2 linked regions of the Macaca mulatta genome follow. The protein of the gene in region 2 interacts with the protein of the main gene of each other region in a biochemical or structural test. Links are inferred from orthologs where the notes say so. Each region holds a gene or a part of one and is shown on either strand. Other genes may lie near its edges.

What was found. The genes of interacting proteins can lie anywhere in the genome.
Region 1: the proteins of DNM2 (region 2) and SNX9 form a complex in vitro, tested with the Homo sapiens proteins (2 studies listed by BioGRID and IntAct, with this or other methods). The link is inferred for Macaca mulatta from reciprocal best matches to the Homo sapiens genes DNM2 and SNX9.

What each region holds. Positions count from the first base shown.
Region 1 is NC_133409.1:76,773,350-76,783,575, reverse strand, and holds part of SNX9 (sorting nexin-9), read right to left. Parts: intron 9,168-10,226; coding exon 9,083-9,167; intron 5,648-9,082; coding exon 5,522-5,647; intron 5,407-5,521; coding exon 5,289-5,406; intron 1-5,288. UniProt on the Homo sapiens protein: Involved in endocytosis and intracellular vesicle trafficking, both during interphase and at the end of mitosis. Required for efficient progress through mitosis and cytokinesis. Required for normal formation of the cleavage furrow at the end of mitosis.
Region 2 is NC_133424.1:11,552,235-11,562,460, reverse strand, and holds part of DNM2 (dynamin-2), read right to left. Parts: intron 7,664-10,226; exon of another isoform or gene 7,593-7,663; intron 5,138-7,592; coding exon 5,028-5,137; intron 1,645-5,027; coding exon 1,533-1,644; intron 717-1,532; coding exon of another isoform or gene 693-716; intron 379-692; coding exon 214-378; intron 1-213. UniProt on the Homo sapiens protein: Catalyzes the hydrolysis of GTP and utilizes this energy to mediate vesicle scission at plasma membrane during endocytosis and filament remodeling at many actin structures during organization of the actin cytoskeleton.

The DNA.
Region 1 (10,226 bases), on a different chromosome or scaffold from region 2:
AAAATTCCAGCATGATTATAAATATCTACAAACTGACATTTAAATTTACAAGGAAAGGAAAAGAAAAAGAATAGCCAAAACAGTGTTGTAAAGGAACCAAGTTGGAGGATTCACGCTACCTGATTTAAAGACTTACCATAAAGCTACACAAGTCAAGACAGTGCAGGACTGGAGAAAGGGATGGACACATAAATCAATGGAACAGAACAGAATCCAGAAATAAACCCACAAATACAATCAACTGATTTTTTTCTTTTACAAACATCATTCTAATAAATGTAAAACAGATCTGTCTTTCCAAAAGATGGTGTGAGACCCACTGAATATCCTGATGAAAAAAAAAAAAATGCACTACCTCTACCGCACTGCACACCTTATATAAAAATAACCTCAAAATGTATCAAAGACCTAAATGAAAAGCCTAAAACTACAAAACCTTTAGAAGAAAATGTTGTGAATTGATCTTAGCCATGACACCTCAAGCACAGTCCATGAAAGAAAAAACTGATACAGTGAACTTCATTAAAGTTAAAAGCCTTTGTTATGCAAAAGACACTGTTAAGAAAATAATAAGGCTAGTGTGGTAGCTCCTGCCTCTAATCCCAACACTTTGGGAGGCTGAAGTGGGTGGATCGCTTGAGCTCAGGACTTCGAGACCAGCCTACGCAACAGGGTGAAAACCCTGTCTCTACCAAAAATACAAAAAATTCACAAGAAGTGTTGATGAGAGCCTGCAGTCCCCTAGTTACTCAGGAGGCTGAGGCTGGAAGACTGCTTGAGCCCGGGAGGTCAAGGTCAAGGTTGTAGTGAGCTGAGATGGTTGACATTGCATTCCAGCCTGGGCGACCAGAGTGAGACCCTGTCTCAAAAAAAAAAAAAAAAAAAAAAAAAAAGAAAGAAAAAGAAAATGACAAGCCAAGCCACAGCTGCGACAAGTTATTTGCAAATCACTTATCTAACAAAGAACTTGTTTCTAGAATATATACATATTTTTAAAAATCTCAGGATTCAACAACAAGAAAACAGACTGATACAAAATGAGCACAAGATGTGAACAGACGCTTCAGCACCGAAGACCTACAGATGGGAAATAAGCACATGAAGAGATGCTCGGCCCCACTCGCCATCAGGAAATGCAAATCAAAACCACGCTGAGATCCCACTGCATACCTATCGGACTGGTTAAAACGAGGAAAACCGGACACTATCAAGTGCAGGTAGGGATGTGGAACTACTGATACTCTCATATATTGCTGGTGAGGATTCCAAAATGGTATAGCCTCTTTGAAAAACAGTCGAGCAATTTCTTAAACATTAAACATATACTTGCCAAATGACCCAGTCATTTTACTCTTATTTACCCAAGAGGAATGAAAACTTATGTTCATGCAAAAACCTGTTTGCAAATGTTTATGGCAGCTTTATTCATAATTGCCAAAAGCTGGAAACCCAAATGTCCTTCAATGAGTGAATGGATAAACAAGCTATGGTATATCTAAACACTGGAATACTATTGGCCTCAAAAGGAACAAACTATTGACACAACAAAATGAATGAATTGCAAATGCGTTATGCTAAATGAAAGCAGTCAGACTCGAAAGACTATACACTGCATGCTTCCATTTATAATGACATTCTAGAAAACACAAAATTATGAACACAAAGAACACATCAGCTGTTGCCATGGTTAGGACTAGGGGGATGGGCAGCACGAGGGAACCTGGGGAGGTGACGGAGCTGTTCTGTATCATGAAATCTAGTGGTGGTTGCAAGACTGCAGTGGTAGCTGTCAAAACTCAGAACTCTACACCAAAAAGAATGAATTTACTGTACCTAAATTTAAAAGTAAAATTTAAAAAATGAAACCTGAACTTTCCTTTAGAAACTACAAGTATAAGTCAGGCAATGGTGGCGTGCACCTATAATCCCAGCTACTTGGGAGGCTGAGGTGGGAGGATCACTTGAGTCCAGGAGGTCAAGGCTGCAGTGAGCTATGACTGTGCCACTGCACTCCAGGCTGGGTAACAGAGCAAGACCCTGTCTCCAAAAATAAATAAATAATAGATAGTATTATGCACCTATATATCAAAAACTTTTATTACCTAAAAAGTGGATTTGAACAGAACAATGAGTCTAGACACTGTCAGTGTACTACAGCATTGCAAACTTTGCATTTACTAGCAGTAGATTAAGCAGAAGCAAAGCCTTGTAACTTGGAAAAACGATAATCCACCTCCTGGCCAGAAAGCCAGCCTGGACCTGGGATAAGATGAACCTCCCATTACGGCCAGGTGAGTTATACCCAGAGTTCATTATCCAATCATTGGTTGAAATTTAGAGATTCTTATTTTATTGAAAAATTACTCTTGTGAAAATTTTTCTGACACAGCTGGTTTCTCTTTAAGCTTATGACTTCAGATGTTATTTTACGTTTGGTAGAATTTTCAGACCAAGTTGCAAAGAATTAGAAAGAAGGAGGAACTTTTATTTCTCTGTTTTCCATGAACCTTACTAAGGTTTTCAATAAGTATATGAATGTATCAGTTTGGTCCCAGGAGTAAAATCATATTCATTCAATATTATTTCCATAAAAAAATCTCTAAACAAATACAGAAATGTTAACTGTACACTTTTTCATGGATTAATTATCGAGTCCACAGGAATATCACAGCATCACCTACTAAGCATTCCTTTTTCTTTTCTTCTGTAGTTAAGTGAGAGGAGAGCTCTCATATAATAATGATCTATGGGCATCCCAGGCAGGAGGCAAACAAGTGAGAGGGGGGAAATAGAGCCCTTCTGTGCTGTTTGGCTTCCTTGGCTCATATCCCAGTTAGTGAATCAAAGCTAAACTTTCTTCACACCGAGGGGCTGCTGCTTGCTCGCTTTTCTATGACATTCCCCTCCCTGGCTGCACGCCTGAACTTACTTTTTTTAAACAAATCTTAGTATGGAAGGAGAACCGTGACTCTCTGAAGCTTTACAAGAGTACTGAATTATTCAGAATAAACAATGTATTACAATCTAAAAGATACGAGAATTTCTTACAAGCCCGAAACAGGCCATTAACCCATGTATTTAAACACCACGGAGCACACGCTGTGCTAACCAAGTTGATAAAGGACAGTACAAAATTCAAGGAAATAGACTATAATTTTAAATGGCAGAACTGAAGTTTTCATGGAAAGAAATCTGTATTTTTAAAGAGAAAGCTGTGATTGAAAGCAATAAGGACGACAAAAAGGAGGTACAGGGAGTGTCTGAACTGGGTTAGAAGTAGGGGTGCGGTCAGTGCCTCTGGGCGGAAGGCAGCAGCAGCCCGGCCCTCTGGCTGTCACTCCATGGCCCCAGCATCACGAGGCACCACTCAAGTGTCACCCAGGGGACTGTGGGGATGTGTTTATCTACCCAGCAGTGCAGCCCCATTTTCAATTTTCCTATGACAATTTGAAATTTTTGAAATGTTTTCCAAAAAAATCAAAATCAAAACTTTTAAAACAAAACTTTCCATCTCCACAAAACACTTCAGGGAAAAACAAACATAAAACAAAGTAAAATATAAAGTAATGTTTTAAGGAGAATAATTTACTCATTGTATGAATACTAATTCTAGGGGAAGATTTAGTCAGTCCACATCTTAACATAAACAGAGTAAGCTGTGGGATCAGGTTCACATTCCTTTTTCGACAATAGAGAGGGGAACCTGTTTAATGTTTGGATTTCCATTTCCTCATACATAAAGTGAAGATGAAAATGACTATCTGTGAGGACAGATGAGAGGCACTTGGGAAGTGTCCAGGCAGGCACACGTGGGACTCCACGGGGATGCTGACATGTCTCCATCTGGCACTGCCACCTGGCTGTGAAGAGTCGCAGGCCCTCTCTGAACTGTTAGACTCTTGCGAATGCAGTGAGAATTCCACCGCCTCTGGTCTTCCCTGACCTTTGGGAAAGAACCCTTCCTTCACCCCTCCATGTTGCTTCTCCATGGGTTCAGGTGAGCCTCTCGGCGTCTCCTTCACATCTCTTTCAGGCCTCCTGGCTCTGACCTTTGAAGACCTCCTCTCACTCTCAATCCACTCCTTTCTATTTTCACTAGTTCATGTATATGAACATTTCTAGCAATATACTAAACTCTGCCTAACCTTTAAGTCCATTTCTTCACAAACTTTATTATTTTATTTATTTATTTATTTATTTATTTATTTTTTGAGACAGAGTCTCGCTCTGTCGCCTGGGCTGGAGTGCAGTGGTGCGATCTCAGCTCATCGCAACCTCTGCCTCCTGGGTTTACGCCATTCTCCTGCCTCAGCCTCCCCAGGAGCTGGGACTACAGGCGCCTACCACCTCACCCGGCTGATTTTTTAGTAGAAACGGGGTTTCACCGTGTTAGCCAGGATGGTCTCCATCTCCTGACCTCGTGATTCGCCCGCCTCGGCCTCCCAAAGTGCTGGGATTACAAGCGCGAGCCACCGTGCCCGGCCCACGACCTTTATTTTGACACACACATGCTGAGTCCCTGAGTGCCTACACAGAGTAGCAGAGTCTATGCTAGGCTGGAGATTAAAAACAAAAACCATTCCCAGACACAAAAACAAACCTTTCTACCTGCATACTTACAAGGTGCTCTAGTAACACCATGGGTTATTTACCAAGATATTCTTGGGGGTGGGGGAGAGGAGGGAATGTGGCACTTAAAAAACAAGAGAAGGCAGAAGGTAGTAATCAAAATAAATAGAAAATGGCACTTTTAAAAAACAAGAAAAGGGAGAGGGTAATAATCAAAGCAAGCAGAAAACCGGGCAGCTTCTTCCTTCGTTAACACTTAGCAGTTCTGTGGCTTCTCCGTCCAGTGCTCACTGATCTAATGAAATAACGCAGCTCATCTGCATAACCTGTTTGCATCATGTGGGTCATATGTTTTTGTTTCCATTTTAGGCTATCTGAATCATTTGTTTTTTCAGGTGTCATTTTTCACATATTTTAAATGTACACATTTCTTTTGGAGAAAGAGTACAGCAATGAAGGCAATGACTCTGCTGGAATTCAACACACATACCAAGACCAGTGATTTGTACATTAAACGTTCTTGTTAGATGTTTAGGCAACTTCCAGATACATGTACAACATGCTATGGTTCTCTCTTCATAGCTGTATTTAATTACTGTTCCCAACTCCTGCCTCCTGCTGCTCTACAGGATGGAAAACGCCATCACTGACTTATAGGAGGATAATCTGACTTGAGTCTTTTTATTTATCATGCTGGGTTTAGCATTAAACACACTCACCTGTGACTTGCTTGTCTGGAAGAGAAGGGATTGGAATGGCTGACCCAAACTTAACCAGGAGACGCTCATATAACCAGTCAAAGTGCTTATACCTGTGGTTTACAGATCGATTAGTGTTCTACAAAATAAGCGGAAGAGAAAAGGTTACCAATGCCAACTCTAGAAAATGAAGAAAAAAGCAAGCTGCGATCAGTGATCCACACGATTCTGCTTTTGATAACGTGGATACTTACAGTGGGTGTTAGCTGATATTCAATGTAGCTCTTCAGACCATACATTTTGGAGCCTTTCCTGGGATCTGCTACCACACAGTCAAATGTAGAGGTAGGATAAACCCACATTGGGCCATAATCTCCAACCTATGCAATGTTCCAGAAATAAGTAATTTTGTTACATGGAAAAATAATAAATATAATTGATGTGAGTCAGCAAGTCATTCTTTTCAGAATGAGAAGTCCTTTGGAGGGTCATTCTTGTTCCTCTTTGAAAGGTACATATATGGTTCAATGGTTTCTGTTCCTGTTAGATACTATGTTTAAAGAACGCACCTGTGGGAAACCCTTCTGCTCCCATGTGGGTAGCTCAGCCCAGGGAGAGGAGACACCAGCTTCCCTCTCCTGAGGAGAGTGCTAGTTACAAAACAATGTTTCTTTATAGTCTAGCTGTCTCAAGCTACATGTGATGAAGGACTAGTTTTTAAAAATTTCCAATAATAGTTTGGTGAAATATAACATCATACATTTTGATTTTTCAACAATACCAAATTGTCCTCAAGTTTTCTAAATATTCTCATGTTCCATACCAATCTCATGGTGGATCAGGAACAAGCAGTTTTCAGATGGGCCACTGGTCTAGTAGCATTGCTGTGGCTCAGAGAAGCGATTAGTCAGATTGGCCAGAGATGATGGCCAGTTTTACTACTAGTGGCAGGGTGAGGGGAGGGGGAGGTACTATGTCTTAAAAGCAAGAACCAGGCTTGCTGTTTTTCCGTGGGCTGCTGTGCCTAAGCACAGTGGGCTGGCTCACTTCCAACCCCCCAGGTATCACACCCACCTGGGCAAGGCTTGCCCGAAGAGGGTAGGCCTCCATTCCTTTCGCACTGGCCTTCTCTTCTATCTGTGACTAGGGGCACAAGTTCACAAATTCAGGCGAGGCTTACACTAGCTCACTGGGGTTTTAGCTGTGGTGGGAGGTGAGGAAGGGAAATCAGCTAAGTTCTATGTGGGGGTGTAGAGACCACGTGTGTAAGTTTTGAGCCTGAGAATCATTTCTGCTAGGCATTGCTAGGTGACAATAGGTCTGCTGTCCCAAACCTGGTGTTTTCAACTTATTTAAAACAGCATCCAAGGCCATGGGGGCAGCTGCAGAGGAACCTGGATGCTGGAGCTCATGTACAGGCTCCTGAAATCACTCCCTGAGTCACCAACAGTCTCAAGCTGGTTCTGCCTCATTCATTTCATAAACTTCGACCACAATGACAGACTCCAGAGATTCAGACCGTAGGACAGTACCTCTTATGAAAACATATTGCAGAGCAATAGAAGTCCTTATTATACTGAGAATGTTATCTATCTTCTTGGCTTAACAACGAAAAATAATTGAGTTACAATCCAAGACAAGAATGAAAAGCAAACACACGGACTGTAAAAAGACCCACTGTTCAGGAAGCGGGTTCACTCAGAGATCCATCCAGAGACTCAAGGAGAATGAAATAATTCATGAACAGGTTTTACTCTTGCAGATTTGAAAAAGTACAGTAAGAAAGTAAAAAGAAAGTGAGAAAAATCACACAGATTGTGCTGAAGGAAGAGAGATTTGTTCAGGCTGAGACCTCAGAGAGGCAAGGCCAGACAGACATAAAAAGGAAAAAAAAGTATACCCAGTCCTAGTTTTTTTTTTTTTTTTTTTTTTTTTAAGTGGAAGATGGGAAAAGCGGATTGGGATATTTAAGTCCAGAGTCTGTTAGGTCAGGAAGGTGCCCTACTGTAAGGATAGGAGCAGTTTAAAAAGAGACTAAAATCTCTGAGAACAAATTAATATAACGCCCGCAGAGAGGGCCCAGATCCAAGAAACTACCCGAAAGGTGCAGAGGAGATGACTTTCGGGGGCTCCCTCAGTGAGTGGGCTGAGAGCGGCAACTGCGCTTGGGTAGTGCCCAATTTCATGGGTCTCTGTTTCATGAGAAGGCAAGGTTACGGCACTTTTAGAGCAAAGAGTTAGTCTTTGCTTTCTCTGGGCCTCCTGAAGATGCGGTGGCTTTCCCCAGCTTCTTCCATGTATGGACGCCCACACAGGCAGACCCGCCTACTGGCTGCATGGGTCCAGTTCTACCTAAAACTTGCGGGTCAATGAAAGGGTGGAACCCTTAACTCTGTACCACCACTGCACGCTTGGGACAAAGTCCCCTTTAAGAATCTGAGGCAGGCCGGCTGCGGGGGCTCATGCCTGTAATCCCAGCACTTTGGGAGGCCGATGCAGGTGGATCACAAGGTCAGGAGTTCAAGACCAGCCTGGCCAATATGGTGAAACCCCATCTCTACTAAAAAATACAAAAAGAATTAGCCAGACGTGGTGGCTTATGCCTATAATCCCAGCTACTTGGGAGGCTGAGGCAGGAGAATTGCTTGAACCCGTGAGGCAGAGGTTGCAGTGAACCAAGATCGCGCCACTGCACTCCAGCCTGGGTGACAGAGTGAGACTCTGTCTTAAAAACAAACAAACAAACAAACAAAAAACAAAAAAACAAAACTGAGGCAGAGCTGTGCGCTCTTGATTTTGAGGAGTGTTAAATCTCATGAAAAGAATAATGGTACATGTTCACTTATTTAAGTCCAGAGAAAACAGGAAAAAAATCTTTAATATAACTACTCAGAAGTTAATTACCCCAAATTTGCTTTGAGGGAAAAAGCATAAAAAGGGCTCTTGGTTACAGCTCTTCAGTCTGGAGGCTTCCAGGGTTTAGAGTTTTTCAAACATGCAGGCACAAGTAATTAAAGAATCTAATACTATTCCTGCAATTTTATCAAGTCTCCAAAGATTACAGAATAAGACCAGATGTTTCCTCATCCTTGATTGAGTCCAGGGTGAGAACACTCAAGACTTCAGGTTCCCAATCTGATTGTTACAGGGTTAAGTCAACAGGATCAGAAGAGAGCTATACTTCTCTTTTCCAGAATTTCATTTGGGAATCTACAACTAAATATCACCTAGACAGAAAATCTATCACCAATGAAAATGTGGAATGAAACCAAAGGGCTTGTGTCACGTTATGCGATGACCAAGTAATTCTAAGACAGATATTCTTAATGATGTCCTTAACTCCCAGCTTTTATTTGGTAGCTCCGTATCTCGATTTGACAGCTGGCTTACTGGAAAAAACACTATTACCAATATATCTGAAAGGGCACCTTATTCTGATAACAAACATGTACTTTACAAGGGAAGAAACAAATATTTGAATTGAGTTCATCAGTGAAACATATAGGGCTGACAGAAAAACAGTATGTAAAATACACTTCAAGACATTTTAGAAAAAAATGATCAAAATAGTACGTTTTATGAGTGTTTGTTCAATACTAAAGGTCTGAAAGATAAAGAATAAACAATATAATGACAGGCATTAATTTGTGTTAATTATCTTCAGTACTCCTACAACACTAACACATATTATCTGTTATTTGGGACATTAAATATATTTAAAAATACTTTCCAAAAGATGAATAACTCGCTTAGCTTTAAGGTACAGTGTTAAGAGTTTAATCAGAAAGAAAGCAAACAAAAACAAACAAACTTACAATGATGGGAATTTTCTCTTTGGGCTTTGCTAGTTGTTTGGCCAACAAATACTGTTCCGTGCCAGGTTTCGCAAATCCAGGAAATCTAATCATGAATACAAAGGTTCGTCAATCTTAAGTCTTTCCTTGTAAGAATTTTACAACTCTCGTCCACATTTACTGAATTTACCAATTTTAACCTTGTCCTGTCTTTCGGGTGCACTACAACTAGGAAACTGTGGTAAACGAAACCTAATGTAATCAGATTGTTCAATGGCCAATTAGGCATTTAATTAAGCTTGATCTGGTAAGGAGAACAGTTTGACTCCTGAAGGTGTGATGTTTACGGGCACTCTATTTGCTTGACCATGTCTGAAACATTCCATCACCCCACAGAGTGAAGGGCAGACCTGAAAAAATGCCCCCTAGTCCCCTGGGGCAGTGAGTAGTGGGCATGCCAATCTGAGCTGGCCACAGGGGGCAACAGCCACGTGCTGGCATTTCTACATCCAAATTAAAGTTGCCTTTCAACAAGCTCACTCCAGAGGCCACAACTGTCCCAAAGAGGCTGTCCTGCTCATCAGTGTATGTGCTTGTTTCTTTTGGAATTGCCTTCAGAAGCAGTTCATGACAGTGGAAAACAAGTCTCCTTGGTAAAGAGACCCAAAGTATAATCAATAAATTTGGCTTTGGGGTGGGGGTGAGGGGGGAGGTCACTTAAGACCCAAAAACTTAAATAAACTTGACTACTTCCAGAAATCAAATCTACAGCCAAAGGATATTTCTAAAATTGGAGAACAGCTAGAACACAGCCATCTAAAAAGTGCTACTGAAAAAGACAAGATTAATTTGGGTTTTAGAATTTTTCTTTCAGTAAACAGAAGGAAGTAAAATATCTACAGTGGGAAAAGGAATCTTATTTCTACGAAGTTCCAGTCGCATTGCTACTTTCATTCATGTGCCAAGCTGAAGGCCAGTGTGATACTCTCAGGGGCCCATGTCTTCTTTTCCTGCATTCTCGACCGACTTCCCTTGAGTCTCCTTTCTCTAGACATTCCTTTAAAACACAGCTTATACAAGAGACCAGAGGTGTCCTGCAGCTGGATGGCGTGGGGTTTGAATTCTGACTCCAACACTTTGGTAGCCTTAGGGGCTGAAATCTTGT
Region 2 (10,226 bases):
CCTCCCAAAGTGCTGGGATGACAGGCGTGACCTACCGCGCCCGGCCTCGTTTTTGTATTTTTAGTAGAGGTGGGGTTTCACCATTTTGGCCAGGCTGGTCTTGAACTCCTGACCTCAAGTGATCCGCCCACCTTGGCCTCCCAAAGTGCTGGGATTACAGGCCTGAGCCACCGCACTCAGCTGCCTCCTTCTCATTTTTAGTTCACCACTCACATTGTTGATCATGAGGTGCATGATGGTCTTTGGCATGAGGTCGCGGATGGACTTGTTGATAATGGCCACGTATGAGTCCACCAGGTTGCGAATGGTCTCCACCTGCCGCTCCAGTTGGGGGTCCATGGAGAAGGTGTTCTCCTGGGCCCCGTCCTCGTTTTCTGCCTGCAAGCGGGAGGGGAGGTGCTGAGGGGTGACTATGGCCTGGGGCAAGTCCTGGTTCTCTGGAAACCATCTGCCCTATTGTCCCACCAATAACTGACCCCAGGCTGGCCCCTGACAGCCCCACTGGTACCAGGTAGGCCTGCCTGCCCCGGGCCAGAGCTGCCCAAACAATGGGGTGACACTGGCTGATGCTGGGGTGGATCCCCTCACCTGGGCATTGGAACATCGTTTTTTTTGTTTTTTTTTGACACGGTCTTGCTATGTCACCCAGGCTGCAGTGCAGTGGCACAAACACGGCTCACCGCAGCCTCAACCTCCTGGGTACAGCTCAAGTGATCCTCCCACCTCAGCCCCCTGGAGTAGATGGGATTACAGGGGTGCGTCACCACGCCTGCGTATGTTTGTATTTTTTGGAGAGACAGGGTTTTGCAACATTGCCCAGGCTGTTCTCAAACTCCTGGGTTCAAAGGATCTGCCCGCATCGCTTCCCAAAGTGTTGGGATTACAGGTGTGAGCCATCACACCCAACCTTAGGACATTTTATTTTATTTTTGAGATGGAGTCTCGCTCTGTCGCCCAGGCTGGAGTGCAATAGCATGATCTCAGCTCAATGCAACCTCCACCTCTAGGTTTAAGCGATCTCCTGACTCAGCCTCCCGAGTAACTGGAATTACAGGCATGTGCCACCATGCCCGGCTACTTTTTGTAGTTTTAGTAGAGACGGGGTTTCACCATGTTGGCCAGGCTGGTCTCGAACTCCTGAGCTCAAATGATCTGCCTGCCTCAGCCTTCCAAAGCGCTGGGATTACAGGCGCGAACTATCCAGCGCGCCCGGCAAGACATTTTAATATTGGGGCCAAGGGTGGCCATGTTCACTCCACCTCAGGATGGAGGGGAAAAGAGAGGAGAACAAAGAAGGCGGTACCCCATCCCCTGCGTGCCCTGGTCACTGGCTTCCGTGAGGGAACATTCTGGGCCCTGATGACAAAGTATCTCCAAGTTCTCCTTTGCTTGCTCAAGTGGGCATCTGCTACATGATTTCAGAGGCTCCTGGCTAACATGACCTGAAAATGACCTGTCCTGGGGAAAGCCAGCTCTGCTTCCTCTCCCAGGTGGGGGCCGCTGGGCCGCCGCTGCGCAGGGCGGCTCCTCACCTGGTCCTTCTCAGGGTAGACGCCGGCTCGGAGGAACGAGGCCTTCCAGCTGTCCACGTCCTCCTGGGAGTCACAGGCCAGCTCGATCTGCCGCAGGTCCTTGTAGACGTTTCTGCGGGGGGAGGGAGAGGAGCAGGCTTGACCCTGCCATGGGTCTGGCAGACCACCGGGAGGAGTGGGCTCTAGGGGTCTTTCTGACTGATCAGGAACCCAAACCCAACCCAGGCTTCACCCGGTCATGCCGAGGGATCATGGTGAGTGATGCCTACGCAGAAGATCACTGTGCACTAGCTCGGCAGGTGTCTGTGTTTCTTTATTTCTGTTGGATTAGCTGACTCTTCTCTTTTCCTGGGCCCCCAGAAGTAGGCATGTGACCCTTGACACCCACTGTAGCTGGGAAGCTCCCACTGGGGCATTTTCAGGAAAGCCCAGAGCAGCACTGTCCACCAGAAATTTATTATTATTATTATTATTATTATTATTTTTGAGATGGAGTTTCACTCTTGTTGCCCAGGCTGGAGTGCAATGGCGCAATCTTGGCACACCGCAACCTCCACCTTTCAGGTTCAAGGGATTCTCCTGCCTCAGCCTCCCAAGTACCTGGGATTACAGGCATGCGCCACCACACCTGGCTAATTTTTATATTTTTAGTAGAGACAGGGTTTCTCCATGTTGATCAGGCTGGTCTCGAATTCCTGACCTCAGGTGTTTTGCCTACCTCGGCCTCCCAAAGTGCTGGGATTACAGGCATGAGCCACTTCGCCCGGCTGTGAGTTTTTTTAAAAAAAATTTTGGCCGGGCACAGGGGCTCACGCCTGTAATCCCAACACTTTGGGAGGCCGAGGCAGGAGGATCAACTGAGGTCAGAAGTTTGAGACCAGCCTGGCCAACATGGTGAAACCCCGTCAATACTAAAATAAAAAAAATTAGCCGGGAGTGGTGACGCATTCCTGTAGTCCCAGCTGCTCGGGAGGCTGAGGCAGAAGAATCACTTAAACCTGGGAGGTAGAGGTTGTAGTGAGCCGAGATTGTGCCACCGTCTCCAGCCTGGGTGACAGAGTGAGACTTCGTGTCAAAACAAAACAAAAAAATTTTTGTAAAGGTTAGGCATGGTGGCTCACACCTGTAATTCTTGCACTTTGGGAGGCTGAGACAGGGGGATTGCTTGAGCTCAGGAGCTGGAGACCAGCCTGAGCAACACAGAAAGATCCCCATATCTACAGAAAATACAAAAATTAGCTGGGCATGGTGGCGTGCACCTGTAGCCCCAGCTACTTGGGAGGCTGAAGTGGGAGGATCACTTAAGCATGGGAGGTGGAGGCTGCAATGAGCTGAGATCACGCCACTGCACTCCAGCCTGGGTGACAGAGCAAGACTCCGTCTCAAAAAAAAAAAAAAAAAAAAAAAAAAAAAGAACCAGGGTCTCAAAGCTGGGAGATAAATGGAATGGATGCTAAACAATGCTTGCAGATGGTGGTCTATAGGCCAGGCCCCGTGCCACATGCCATGCATGTTTTCCTGTCCCACATGCAGGTGTGGTTGAGACAGCCAAGCTGCCCCCAAAGCCTTTAAGTGAGACTTGGGTTTGTGGTCAGCAAGTGGCTGCCCTGAACGACCTCTGGATGGGGTTGTGTGGGGAGAGGCATGCCCTTGTAGCTCCTCCTGTCTTCCTTTCTGCTGCTGCCTGGAACATCATCACAATGGCCGGAGCCTGGGCAGCCATTTTGGGCAAAGAAGTAGCAGTCAGGGTTTTGGGCCAGGCATGGTGGCTCATGCCTGTCATCCCAGCACTTTGGGAGGCCGAGGTGGGTGGATCACTTGAGGTCGGGAGTTTGAGACCAGCTTGACCAATATGGAGAAACTCTGTCTCTACTAAAAATAAAAAATTATCCAGGCATGGTGGTGGATGCCTGTAATCCCAGCTACTCGGGAGGCTGAGGCAGGAGAATCGCTTGAACCCAGGAGGCAGAGGTTGCAGTGAGCTGAGATCGCACCATTGCACTCCAGCCTGGGCAACAAGAGCGAAACTCTGTTTCAAAAAAAAAAAGAGTCAGGATTTCGTGGCAGGACTGTCCTACCGCAGAGCTCGGGTTCTGCACACCAGGTGGAATCCTGAGGAACATGCAGGGCCTGGATCCGGATCCCTGTGGAGCTGCTCCACTTTGCCTGGGATACTAAAGTCTGGACTCGATTTACATAAAAACCCATCAACCATCTATCTTGTTTTTGCAGCTATTACTCTGGGTTTCCTGAACCTGCTCTTAAAAGATGTATCAGGTAATATCGTCACCCTCCCTGTAGAGGAGGCACACGGCTCAGGGACCTGGGACAGCTGCCAGGTGCCATACGGCCAGGGGCAAGCCTAGAAGAGCTATGAAGGTTTTCAGGGCCAGCTAGTGGACAAATGGGTCTCAGAGCTTTAGGCCAGCCAGAGCAAAGCAGGAGGGAACCAGGAGACTCAGCTGGAGTTGGTGGGTGTAGCCTAGCAGTAGGCAAGGAGGTGCTGGGGCCAGCAGGGAGGATGTCAGTGCCTGCCTGCGGGTCTCAGGGTACCACCGGGCCTTTGCTGACAGCTAAGCCCTGACTCAGGTGGGCCCTGCTTCCTGGATGAATGCGATTGTGTTGAGCATGGGAGGAGCCCTCCCGCCAGCCGGGTCTCTTCCTGAGAGCAGTGTCCCTGCTAAAGTCTCCAGCCACTGCTTCATGGGACAGATGTACTGTGAGCTTCCTGGGGCCTCCCATTCTCCAGCTTCACTCTCCTGGGAGCTCATCTGGTTTCATCCCTTGAAATACTGTCTACACAATGGTGACTGCCTAGTTCACATCCCAGACTGGAGCTCGTTCCTGGACGTCACACTCCTCGATCTATCCAGGTGCCTGCCTGATGCGCCCTCTCCCTTGGATTGGACTAAATGGAGCTCTTGGCTGTCTCCAGGTCTACCCCGCCGCTGCCTTCCTCACCTCGGCCAATGGCAGCAGCCAGGCAGTGCCGGAGCTCAGGCCCAGGTACTCAGGGTCACCATCGGTGTCTTTCTCTCTCATATCCATGCCCACCAGGGCTCTGCCTGACTCTTCTACCCAGAATCTGCACCCTTCTTCCCTATGGGGTGTGGCCCCATCATCGCCCACTTGGACGAGGCAGTGGCCTTTGCCCTGGTCCCTGGTCTCCCACCCTCTCATACTGTTTCCCTCTCAGCCACCAGAGGGCGACTGCAAGCACCTGAGCCAGGTCCTGGTTACCCTGTGCTCAGAACTCTCCATGTTCCCACCTGACTTGGACCCTGCCTTCATCCTCGTCTCTGCCCAGAGAAGTCACCTCTGACCCAGCACCGGAAGCATCCCTGGCATTTGCTGTTTCTCACCCGACTCCCTTTCTAGAAGGTCGGTCCCAAGGGCAGGGGCTGCTGACAGCCAGGTGCTCAGTGAAGGCTGTGGAGTGTGAATGAGGCCGTTGGTCTTCACCCCGAGCCCTCCCCGGGACCCTGGGGCCCTCACCTCTGCTCCGTGTTGAAGATGGCGAACACGTGCTTGTTGGACATGAAGCCCTTCTCCACGTCACGTATCTTGAGGTTGTCCAGAGGCAGCATGTACTTCTTCTCTTTCTCCTGAGGGTGGACGGGAAAGTCACCCTGTGCTGTCCACGTGACAACTCAGGATGCCCCAGGCCAGAGAGTGCAGCGTGCGCCACCACCGGCCCTAGGGGCTTCTCAATGCTGCTGGTCGCTGCTGTGGATGAGCCCATCTGCCAGCCCCTCCCCGTCCGTCACTCTGTCCCAGCCACGCTGCCCTCCATGATGCTCCCTGAGTATCCCAGGTGGGTTCCTACCCCGGGGCCTTTGGACGACCCAGGCCACTGCCTGATCCAGACACCTGCATGGCTCCCTCCTGCCCTAACTCCACCCGCACCTTCCCCACTTCCACCCTCCTTTCCCCGCACACAACACATCACGTATTCTGCACTTGTTGACCTAGGTGCCCGACTGCCTGTGCTTATTGACCTAGATGGCTGACTGCCACTGGACTGACTCAGTTTCTCCTGTTGAGTTCACTGCTGACATGTGGCTGACTGCATGCGCAACCAAACCACCCCTCGCCTTGCGTGGAGTGAGTGGAACTTTTATCTGGGCTCCATCTTTGAAACGAGCCTAGGAGTGAGTTACCTCTGTGATGCCATTTTACAGAGGTGAAGACTGAGGCAGAGAGGAGCAGGGCTGAGATTTCAACCTTGGCCGCTTTAGGACATCTCAGGGCTGGATAGCTGACGCCTGGGCCAGGTGCTGCAGAAGTCTTAGTCCCTTTTTTTATTATTATCATTATCATTATTTTAATAGAGATGGGGTCTCACTGTGTTGCCCAGGCTGGTCTTAAACTCCTGGGTTCAAGCAAGCCTCTCGAAGTGCTGGGATTACAGGTGTGCGCCACCACACCTGGCCCTATCACTTGCTTTCGAAGGTTGGCCCTGTTCAGGAAGCACCAAACAAGTGCCGGGCATGGCTGCCCAAAATGCTAGGGGGCAGCTCAGAGGAGCTGGGCCCCTCAGCCAGGGGCAAGGGTCACGGAGTCACGGAGTCTGGGGATAGCACCCTGGAGCCCCATGCTCACCCAGTGACATGTGTGCCCACCCGCCACAGCAGCAGCTCTTGGGGACCCATGCCATGCACTGCTTCATCTCAGTTCATGGATCCCTCCCAGCTCAGAAAGGGAAGCTGGCTGCCCAAGGCCACATAGCAGGCAGTGCAAGCCACAGCAGGACTTCAGAGGCCAGGTCCCTGTGACCCAAAGCCCAGTCCTCTCCACAGTGCCCCTGGCCTTTCTTCTCCCTGGGCCATCTCTGGAAACTCCTCTCATGTCCCCTCGCTGTGCTGCCCCAGCACAAAGCCTAACCTGCCTGCCGCCTCCAAGTTTAAGAGCAGCCACAGTGACTGTGGAGAAGGCGGCTGGGGCTCCCTGGCAAGTGGGGGCCGGCTGGGAGTGTCAGGACTTTGCAAGGGAAGCCAGGATGAAGCAGTGGGCTTGGCACATGGGCTCAGTCTCAAGGCGTTAGGAGCTCAGCATGGTTGAGGTGATGCCAGCCCTGCCCTTTCCTGGCCGTGTGCCCTTAGGCAAGCCACTTCCACCATCCCCCCATCTGCACCTCGGTTTCCTCATCTGTCCAAGGAGGACGGAGGAGCTCGGTGCCCGCTGCAGAGCTGGTGCCCATGAGCACCCGGGATTTTCTTTGGTTGCTCTTGTGAGTGGCTCCAGAATTAGCCTTCTAGGCAAGGAAGAAGCAGGGCAGAGCATAGGAAGAGGGGCCCAGCAGCCGTGGAGGGAGCAGAGCGTAGAAGAGCGGCCCGGTGGCCATGGAGGGAGGGACGCCGCTGCAGACCCAAGGGAGGGAGGGTGTTGAAGAAGGCCTGTACCCCCCATCCCAGGCAAGGCTGGGTAACACAGGGCCTGAGTCCCTCCTGCCTCTCGGGGAAGAGTTTTGGGGGCTTTAGAAGGGGCCAGGAGAGGGGGCTCTGCAGAAGCCCTGCCCCCCACCCGGACGTTTGCCCAAGGGCCTTTGCTGTCCTGACTCTATCGTGTCATGCAGCCGGAAGCTTCCGTCCAGCGGGGCCAAGTAACTGAGTCACAGGCCGTTCCAGCTAACGCCACATCTGGAACTGTTTACAGTGCGATTCTGCCCAGAAAGCAGTGGCCGCCTTCCTGGGGCTGCCGGCACGCACACTCGCGCACACACACACGCGCGCGCGCGCGCACACACACACACAGAGGCATGTGTGCGCCCCTCCTCCCCACCCCCGACCCCCAGAGAGTCAGACTTTCTCCTGAGCCCAGAAGCCACGATCCCAAACCCTGCCTCCTGCCTCCGCCTCCCCCACTCTTTAGGATTTCCTGAAAACCCAGAACTTTCTCCAGATGCAAGCCGGCCCCAGCCTTGCCACGTCAGAGGGGACAGAGCGGATCGTCTCGGGAGGAGTGGTGGTTTCCCTGGCTGCTCAGAGGTGCTCAGGCGCGGCCTGGCCTGGTGGCTCCGGCGTCTGCCTGGGGGGTGCTGCGGGATGGACAGCCGGCCTCGCCAACCCAGTGTTCAGACTACCTGTTCAGGAGGCTCTCAACGTGTACAGTAGTCTGCACATTGGTTAGGCTGGGCTTGGGTGAGCGGCGCGTCGAGACAGGCCCCCCAAACTCGCCGGCAGGTGAGTGTCATTTTCCACCACCCCGTTTCCCACTGCGGTGAAGCCTGACATAGAAGATTCGAGGGCCTGGGTGGGAGAAGAGGTGCTGGGGAAAGGCAGAGGGAGCCCTGAGGCCGGCCGAGGGGTTGGGGGCCCTGGCCCTATCAGTCCGCCATCCCCACCCCATGGCTATAAACGTCTTCTCGTTTAATCTTTAAATAAAGAGATACCGATGTCTTGCGTCCCACTGAGGCATCTAAGAGGGTGGCCTGATCCTCAGGGGTGGCTGCCACATGTGTGACTCCAAGGGTCCCTGCTGGGATCCTAACTTGGGTGGTGGTAGGGGACACGTTCCATGGCTACCCCCTCCTGACTAGAGCCTGCTTTGTGTCTGGGGCGCACACAGTGCCCCTTTCACAGGTCGGCTGTTTCTCATTACGGCCGGTGCCCGGCCCTTCTCCCACCGCTGCTCCAGACTCCAATCTGGGGCTCCACAGGAGGGTCGGGGGCTCTGGCTTTCAACCCTGAGATGAGGAAAACACGAAGGGCCCCTCATGTGAGAGAAGAGATCTGACAACCAGACTTGCAGTGCTGCCAGGCAGAGAGCCGGCAGGGTAAGGTTCAGGCCCAGAGGCTCCTCCAGGGCTCGCCGCCCCAGGCCTGGCACTCCCACCCAGGGGACCCTGGAAGGTCCCCACAGCCCTAAACTGAAAGGCAGGGGACCAGCTCTCAGCCGGCCCGACAGCCCACACGCCACAGCGCAGGCTGCTTTCTGACTGCAAGGAGGAAAGAGGGGAGGAAAGTGAAGGGCACCCCACCCCACCCCGGCCATTTTGAGGAGCCATCCGATCCGGACACGTGAGTTCCTAGAGGAGCGTGAGGCAGGGGAGAAGACTGCAGACCACGCCTGGCCCCACACTCCTCCCACATCCCAACCCCATGAGGTTCGCTGGATCTGAGGTTCTGGAAGGTTCCACAGGGACCCCAGAAATGCTTGCATGGTGGCTCAGCAGACTCCACCACCCTGGGTTAAGAAATAGCACCCCAGAGTCCCGCAGAGGCCTCAGGGCTCCTGAGGCTTCCGGAACATTCCAGAGATGAGCGTCTGGCCTCGTGTGGAGTGGGATGACCCTTTCACCCCAGCGCCCTCGGTCAAGGGGACATCAGGCCTGGGCTGGGCGGAGGTGTCTGGATGTCGGGCTGGGGTGTCCCTCAGGTCAGGGAGCATGGGCCTGCAGACGTGCACCGGAGAAGCGTCCACCCCAGAGGGGACCCTCCCCCGCTCCCCGACGTGGGGCAAGTCACTGCTCAGACCCTTAGACGGGGGTGACCACAGAGCCACCCAAATGGCAAGCGTGAGGGTTTCCTCACGGGGAGCAGGGTTCTCCTCAGGTGTGGCCTCAGTGGGCTCTTAGCCAATGAGCCCAGCACAGAGCAGGGGTTCACAGCCACGAGGCCCTCCTCTCTTTGCTCCTCCCTGGGGCCAGCCGGGGCCCTCCAACCTGCCTTCTCTCTAAGCCTGGAACTTCCAAGCCAAGTCCTGCCTGTCCTGGGGCTGAAGTGGCTGCCAGCAAGCCCCCAGTCGGGGGTACTCCCACAGGGCATTCCCTCAAACCCAAGGGGAAGACAGCCAGGCAGGGTGGCTCCAGGGGACTCAGGCAACCCCAGCCTCTCCACTGAGGTTGCCTGGACTAAGCTGGTGGCTGTGCCATCCCAGGGACCATGGGGACTGGCCAGCTGGCCCTGCACCTGACACAGCCTCCAGCTCCTCCTCTGTGAACTAGGAGTAGGTGGGTAGGTTCCCTCCTACAGAGAGGAGCTGGGAGGACTTGATACTGGTAGCCACCAGGACAAAACCTGGGACACATGCGGTGAGCCAAGCACAGTGCTGGGCTCAAGTACCAGAACTCCCCCACCGGCTCCTGCAGTCCAGAGGGGACAGGCCACAGTCCTGTGGGGAGACGAGACACGAAGGGTTGATGCCACTCAATCGATATCCTGGTGAATTCTGGGTGTCAAGCCCCAGCTGTCATGCTCAGAAACAACCAATATCCACTTCCTTCTTAGAAAGTGCTAGAACTATTAGCTGGACTCACAGTTCCCACACACAGAGGCCCTTCTTTCCCTTCTTCGGGCTGCTAGAAGCTACATGGTGATGGGCATGGGGCAGCCATTTTAAACTATGAAGGGAGCCCTGTGTTAAGGTGGCAACAGGAGAGGCAGAGCCAGGCCCTGGACAGCCTCGCAGCACAGGATCACCAAGCTCACTGAGACGTGAGCAAGAAAGAGACTTTATCTCTTTAAGTGCCTTCGTTTTGGGCCTCTATTACAGACGCAAATCCACTGCCCACGTAACACAGCCATGGCTCACAGGACAGTCTGCAGTCTTCTCCCGGAGCACCGGGACACTGAGAGAAACACAGCTCCCTTTGCCAGGGACTCTTGAAAGCCAACCTGGACCTCATCAGAGCAGCAACAAGCTGTCACACAGAAGTGGCTTCCCTTCCAGGCCACTAAGCCATGGTTACGTCAG